Linked DNA regions of Nothobranchius furzeri. The protein of the gene in region 1 interacts with the protein of each later gene in a pairwise test. Links are inferred from orthologs where the notes say so. Each region holds a gene or a part of one and is shown on either strand. Other genes may lie near its edges.

Region 1 (3,922 bases):
ACACACACTTCACCGATCTTCAGCTCATATTGCAGGAGGACCTTGTTATGACGAGCCGTCAGCTGATATCTGTGATTGCTGTGGTCAGGCGGATGTGTCTATTTGCTGGAGGCTACGATCTTGATGTACTGGAGCGCGCTATGTGCCGCCACATTGTGAGCGTTGCTGCAGGAGATGCCGGTGCCGTGACACATGGTGACGGGGTCGGTGGATAGTTCTGCCAGGCACTGGTACTGTCCGTTTACAGTCAGCTCATCTGTCAGACATGAACACAGTCAGGGATTTTCTACAGGCAGACATAGGGTCTCCCCTGAGTCTGTTTTTCTGCCTTTCGGGATAAAAGAAGCCTCCAAACATCAACCAAAGCACTAAATTCTTACCAATATCATAGTATGTGACCTCGAAGCCCTGCTCGTGGGACAGATCCAACAACATCTGAATGTAATCCGCGTTGGGAATGTTCAGCGGGCTTCTCCTCAGTAGGGAAATCTTTTCTGCGGAGGACTTTTTCACATTCTCGAGGAGGACACTCGGTTTAGGAGTCTGAAAAACCAGCAACAAGAACATTTCAAACATCTTGTGGATGTTTTAGGAGGTGAAATGAAAGACCTGACTCACCCAGGTGATCTCCGGACCGCCTGACAAACTTTGAAGCTTTGCCACAATTTTCTCTGCAGCCTCCCTTTTTGCTGCTTTTTTAGAACTTCCAACACCTAAAAATAAATAAATAAATAAAACAGGATTAAAACAACAGAACCAAAACAAACAAACTATTTAAATGACTGAAAAAAATGTTTAATCTTTCCTTTTTCTGTAAGAGAGTCAAATCTACAAGCGACAGTGAACTCCCTCTGATGTGGTGGACCAGACTCAGCTAGAACTGCATATTCAGGCCGACGCCATCCTCTCTGGATCGTTAACTCCTAATAATAATTTTTAATTTTAGGTCAATTAATATGAAGAGAAAAATGATATATAATTAACTAAAATGACACCCTTGATCAGTTGCTTAAAGGTTAAATAATACAAACATGACTGTAAAACAGCTGCAGCAAGATAAGTACTCTCTTCTGTAACACAGACCGTCAGAAATTACATAAAACAATAATTTTACATTTTCACAAAAGCAAACGTGACATATAAAAGATGTAACGTGATCACACCTGCAGAAGGGACACAGAGCTGGGATTGTAGTTTGCATCCGCTGCATCCCCGTTGGTGTCGGACTTCCCAGGAGAGGTCCTATTGGGCGTCACGTCAAACACATTAGAGCTTCAACAGTTATAAGAAATCAAATAAATACAACAAAACGCAAAACTTCTGACGACTGACGTTGCTGAATATATTTGTTCTATAACTTTACAGATAATGCTGTCAAATTATTTAACTACAAATAAAATTCCTATTGCAGCCTAAGCAGCATTAAAATATTCACATATGAGACCCCGATAGAAGCTGTACATTCTTTGGTTTTCGCTGTAAAAACCAGGTAAATGAACTAATGGTAAGCAAATAGTTTTGACTTCACTCACAATTTTTTAGAATCGAGGTTCAACAGCTTCAGCGCAGCACTTGCAGCCTGGTGTTTAGCAGCCTTTTTAGTAGGACCTTGACCTGAAATAAAATATAACGAAACAAATTTGTTTCAAAAGCAAAATTAAGTGAATCTTATCACAGATTTTAATTTCTAGCTTAAAATTTTTGCAATTATTTTTAATTTTCTTTGCACAGGTCTACGCTGGAAGTGCAACGGGACACGCTGATGATGCATTTAAGAGTTTACAGCAGCAAAAGACTAACCTGTAACGTGATCAGTGAGTTCTAACTGGATTTTCAGCATGAAACCTCAACAATAAATTACCTCCTGAGTTAGGAAGTACCTAGGTAGTACCTACCTGTACACCGAATGTCTGCAACTCTCACGCTGAAGAAGAAGCTGGGCTGGTGGCCACTTCCTTCAGCTTTCTCCATCTCGTACACAGGAGCGTTCCCACTGGCAGTCCCATACTCATGCAGGATTTGGATCGGGGTCTTCCCCAGGCTGGCCCATTCTGCTTCTTGTGAATCCAAACTTATATTTAACAAAGAAACAATAACATGCAACCTTTGTTACAGGTTAATCTGGGGTTATTTTGGTTGAACAAATTATATTTTATGAATTTTATATGGTGTCTACCAAACTGTTTAGGAAAAATAGGAACTGTAGCTAATTGCGAGTATTTCATGATTACTTCTAATATAAAATTATTTTGTTGTTTCATCACAAAAACAATCTATAATCTGTTAAATAGGAGAAATAAATGTATGTATAACCGTTGGTTTTCAATGTAATGGTTTGAAGCGTCCATTTAAACCGTACTGTTGTTTTTACGCACACAAGAAGATAAAATCATTAACTAGTTTCTGTAAATGATTTGAATTTAACTTGTAAATAATAACGCTACAAACCTTTTGTCGTCCGGTGACTGATACCCCTGTTGAGACATGTTGGATTATTTACGGAGGTCAGCAGGAATTTATCTGGTGGAAACTTAAAAAATAAAGATAAATATAATCTAATGCTTCAGGTTTTCTTCACATTAAACATATTCATGTTTCTAAACGAAGAAAATGCTGCATCCTTCCTGGAGAAAAAGGGAAATAAAAGTCGTGTTCACATCCGGGTCAGCGGAAGTGGTTGCAGCGATTTAGTGCACCCCCTGCTGGTTGAGATAATGGACTGCAATCAAAAACCTAAAATTGTATCTCACTAGTGGGGGGAACGTTTTAGCAAAACAATAAATAAAATGTATTTATGTGATGCAAAAATTAAGTAAGACTAAATTGACACAAATTTTATTTCAGTTTTGAAAACTAATTATAATAGGAAACCAGTTTTTTTCCAGGTTACTCTTAGACAAAGCATACTTTGTATCAAAGTTTATTTTTCATCAACTTTGTTCATTTGACATTTTTTTCTATTCCCATTACAATAATCTAAATAGCCACATTTTACTATTTTGACAAAGAACACGGAAATGCCATAAATACTGTTGCCATGCATCAAAAGATCCTGGGTTCAAATCCCAGCTGGAACCTTGCATAGTTTGCATTTTCTCTCCATACACACCAACTCAGGCTTTCTCCTAATGTGCAAAAACATGCATGTTTGAGTAATTGTCAATTCTATTAGACCCTAGGTGTGTATGTGAGTAGAAGTTTGTCCCTTTGAGACTCTGTCCAGGTCAGACTCTGCCTCTCATCCAATAACTGTTGGACATAAGCACCCAGAACATTTCCACTAATGTATTTGATAAGAAATATATTCTTTAAGAAATTAAAAAAAATATATATATATAGTACTGTTGAACAGTTAAGATTGTTTAGAGGCTTGAATTTGTCATGATTACACCTAGATAGCAGTAGAAAACAAAGTTGGTAATAAATTCATTTTCAGTCTAAATGCTTATTGCTTTGGCTATATAAAGTGCCACATCAGGGACAATTTAAATAAAATCATTCTGCAGCAAAAACTAAGACCTAACACCAACTCAAATGAAACATAAAACATGTTCAGAATTAGAATGTCGTGTCAAGGCGCTGAAATTTGGCACACTCAGCTTCTTTGGAAATAACTAGGCAGACTCCATTCTGCAGCAAAAACTAAGACCTAACACCAACTCAAATGAAACATAAAACATGTTCAGAATTAGAATGTCGTGTCAAGGCGCTGAAATTTGGCACACTCAGCTTCTTTGGAAATAACTAGGCAGACTCCTGGGCTTTTACAAGAGCTCATCAATAAACATACAAATAACGGTCACACAGACACGCACCAATATTTAAAGATGTAAACAGTGTGTGGAATCGGCCTCCCAGGGATCATTACATTCTATTAACAGGAGATCAGAAGGTTTTCAACTCAGGAGGAGGTGTTTTGGGA
Region 2 (3,822 bases), about 19 Mb from region 1:
CTCTAGCAGAAGTGAATGCCTTGTAAGTCGTACTCTGGGGAAAAAAACACCGGTGCGCGTGTTTCAGGAACAAGAAATGACCCACATCAGAGCTGAGCTTCAGGCAACAGGTGTCACGGTCTTATTTCCTGATATTTAGACATCTCTCCTCTGATTGGCTAACAGCAACACAACTCTACCACTAACTCTGTAATGTTGATGTTTTATCACCACAAATAACACAAGAATGGAGGAGTGTGGTGGAGTTGCTAATGCTAACGGTTAGCTTCTACTAGCCGAGACGTTCTCTGCTGTTTCCTGGTTGTTAAAGCAACAACAGCCTTCCCCGTCGTGAGTCAAGATGGGTGAGTCCATGAATGTTAGTGACAGTTTGACGTAGATGTGTCAGGATCTTCTAATCCTAGAGTTTTTATCAGAAGCCATGCAGGAGACAGGTGTAGGAGACTATTGTAAATGTTCAGCCTGCATGAAAACCTAAGAGCAGGGCTATTTAATTCCAAGCCAGCACATTTTAGTGGTTTCTCTGGTCCAACACACTTGATTCTGTGGTTGAATCACCTTTGCAGCAGCTCATCAGGCTCTTCAGAAGCTTGTTAATCACCTACTAACTGAAATCAGGCGTGTTGAAGCCGGGTTAAGACCAAAACATGCTGGATACCGGCCCTCCAGGCCCGGAATTGAATAGCTCTGCCTGAGCGTGCCTGATTATTTTCAGAAATAATCAATAAAAATGTTTTTTTAGTGTTCCACACCTTTAAATATATTTACTTTCCATTATTATCAACTGAATGTCATCATATTATCTCCTTTGCTTTTCTCTTGAAGAGGAAGTTAAAGGGTTAACACATGTCCAGTGAGAAAACCATCATATTTGTATTGTTTACAAAAGACTAAAGTTAAAAAAGCTGGACGAGAATTTAAACTAAACACACGTGAAGCCACGACAGCTCAGACCTTTTAAACGGTACAGCTAACATCGTCCCCCCCCGTTGCTGTAGATGGTGTTCACCAGCTCCTGGCAGACATATTCATCTCCTCTGCTGCCAAATGCATCGCTGTGCTTTACAGCAAATGGCTCAAGCGTTTACTTAACTGTTTGTGCAGCTGAACAAAAAAAGTACACAGAGTTTTAGAGCCCAAAAAAACCCCTCTGTTCTGATTTAGACAACGAGGATCGGTGTGGAGAGAAAATAACACAATGTTCCAGTTAACAACGTTCCTACGTTAACCATAAAGACCTGTTTAGATAGAAGGAGCAGCCCGTTTGTGCAGAAACACGATGCAGATTCATCAGAGACTACATGAATCTCAGGTATGCAAAAATTAATTCATATATTTAATAAATATATAAAAGCAATAATGAAGGAAAAGCATTCTTGTGCATCAAACGTGTTACAGATTCATTTTAACCTGGTCACCTTAAAACTGCTCTTATTATTTCAAATGACTGTTTTATTTTTATTTTAGTTAGTTGTGTTGGTTTCAATAAAAATGCTTATTTTTCTGTTTATGTGTTTTTGTCTATGAGGCCTGGGTAACAGGAGGATGTAGCATATTAGAGAAATAGGGTTTAAATGCAAAAGGGAATAAAATGAGATCTAACAGAAAGACTGCGAACAGAGAACTGTTTCCACCCCGACCGTTTAAGATGCGACACACTCTGATGCTGATCGCTTTAATGTGCATTCATTAAAAAGGAGGATTTGTTTACATGGTGATAATTTTCTACTTTATTTTGTAAACATACCCTAACAGAGAGCTGATGATCTATCAAATAATTAGGTAAATTACCAGACGTGGGAACATGCTAACAAGTTAGCATTGGGCTGCTAACTGTTAATGATTGCCTCTTTTCTTTGTATTTTAGGCTTATGCTTTAACAAACAACAAAACTATAGTTAGAAATAACAAATAATCATGACAAAATTGGGATTTCAGAATAAAACAACTCATCATATGACACTTTAGCCACAGCTAATCCTATTTGTGGGCATCCATGGCTCAATAGAAAATAAATAAATAAAAATAAAAAACTGTATAAATTTGTAAATATTGGGATAAAAAAAGATTCTAAAACACAACAAAGTCAAAATGTGAGCACTATAAATATTCCTATGGACAAAAAACACTTATTTTTAAAGGCTTTTGCTTCTAAATCCTTAAACAAAAAATTTGAACTTACCGTATTTTCCGGACTATAAGTCGCACTTTTTTTTTCATAGTCTGGCTGGTCCTGCTACTTATATACCAAAGTGACTTAAATACCAAATTATGTATACCGCGCTGCTGCGGGCCGGCTCCGCTCCAGGTTTCTACTTCTACTACTGCTAAACTTTATTTATATAGCGCCTTCACATGGCCAAGGACCAAACAAAGCACTGCACAACAGAAATGAACATAAAGAAATAAAAACACATAAAACCATAAAAAAACCGACTTATACTCCAGAAAATACGGTACTAAAATCCCTTTTTGTAAACACAAAACCATCAACCCCCCCACCCCCGAAGTTACCTGTCGTCATGACAACTCCTGCCAGGACTTTTCGCCGCGCATGGGGGGATGTGAAGTTGTCTGTCAGCTCACTGAACTTATCCACCACCAGGCGAGAGACGGCATCAGCCAGAACCTACACACACACACACACACACACACACACACACACACACACACACACACACACACACACACACACACACACACACACACACACACACACACAGCAGGAAGACATGCACATAGCCACACAAACAAAAGCTTGTCTCAGATATGTCAGCTGACAAAGCATGTCTGATGTTATCCTCCCCCCGAGCGCTATCTACCTGTCGAGCGAGCATCCCAACAGCAACAAGTGAAACGGGGATGACCCGCTGAGGTTTACCTAACAGGGATGCTAGAGTCTGACATGACAGTTCTGGGTAGCATCTCCCTTCTGACAGTAAATCACGGCAACAACAAACAGATAAACCCAAACACCAGATGTGAAATAAGTTCTCATTGGATCTTCACAAAGTTTAAATCTCCGGCTGAACGTTTAAGGGAAACAAACAAAAACCAGGCTTCTGCTGTTCTTGGACCACTAATGGGATTGAAAACGACAGAAACCAAGAGAGACTTCTACTGAATTATCCCAAATGAAATAAACTAGTCGCACATTGCCTCTCACTCAAAGTCAGACCACAAAATAGTAACCACCTGGGCAGTGTTTAAAGTGTCCACTTCACTACGTCCTGCACTGTTTTCCCTATCTCATGGCAGGAGTTTCAAATTACACACTTCAAACAAACACCTTCACATCCGAACATTCCCTGGTCAAACAGGAACGCTTTTACAAATTCTCAAGATCAAGCGTGACCTCAGAGAGAACAAACATGGCTGAGGAGGAGCATGTGATGCGCTTTATTCACAGCGCTTCCTGATTGGCTACACGCCACATTCAACAAGCAACTCGCTCATTTGTCCTCGATATCAGACCAAGACGATGAAATATGTTGAGTTTCTCCGATTTGTAGTGGTCCTTCAGAGAAGAATAGAGTAAAAATCGTCTATTTGCCGTGTGAAGTGGGCCTTTGCTTTTTGGTTCACGTAAAGGTTTGTTTTGAAACTCAGAAGTTTATTTATTGTATGACTAAATGATTTTGCTTGATTTGGAAGTTAAAGCTGCTAATGTGGATCTGCAATCAAGCTAGGTTTTGAACACAAACACGAAACACTCACTCCTCCCCTCAGGCGTCTTCCCTCAGCATGCTTATTCTCTCATAAGCACTTTGGCTGATGGAAACAGGCTGCAGATATTACATATTAAGCAACAGAAAGTTAATA

The links.
Region 2: the proteins of prkra (region 1) and adarb1b interact in binary tests that used the Homo sapiens proteins (3 or more experiments, as listed by UniProt). The link is inferred for Nothobranchius furzeri from reciprocal best matches to the Homo sapiens genes PRKRA and ADARB1.

Annotation. Positions count from the first base shown.
Region 1 is NC_091754.1:21,792,940-21,796,861, forward strand, and holds the start of prkra (interferon-inducible double-stranded RNA-dependent protein kinase activator A homolog), read right to left. Parts: upstream 2,639-3,922; 5' UTR 2,487-2,638; coding exon 2,449-2,486; intron 2,072-2,448; coding exon 1,896-2,071; intron 1,615-1,895; coding exon 1,533-1,614; intron 1,243-1,532; coding exon 1,164-1,242; intron 924-1,163; coding exon 805-923; intron 713-804; coding exon 619-712; intron 544-618; coding exon 381-543; intron 257-380; coding exon 99-256; 3' UTR 1-98. Other genes in the region: casp10 (caspase-8), read right to left, coding at 3,886-3,922. UniProt on the Homo sapiens protein: Activates EIF2AK2/PKR in the absence of double-stranded RNA (dsRNA), leading to phosphorylation of EIF2S1/EFI2-alpha and inhibition of translation and induction of apoptosis.
Region 2 is NC_091754.1:2,531,575-2,535,396, forward strand, and holds part of adarb1b (double-stranded RNA-specific editase 1), read right to left. Parts: intron 2,630-3,822; coding exon 2,515-2,629; intron 1-2,514. UniProt on the Homo sapiens protein: Catalyzes the hydrolytic deamination of adenosine to inosine in double-stranded RNA (dsRNA) referred to as A-to-I RNA editing.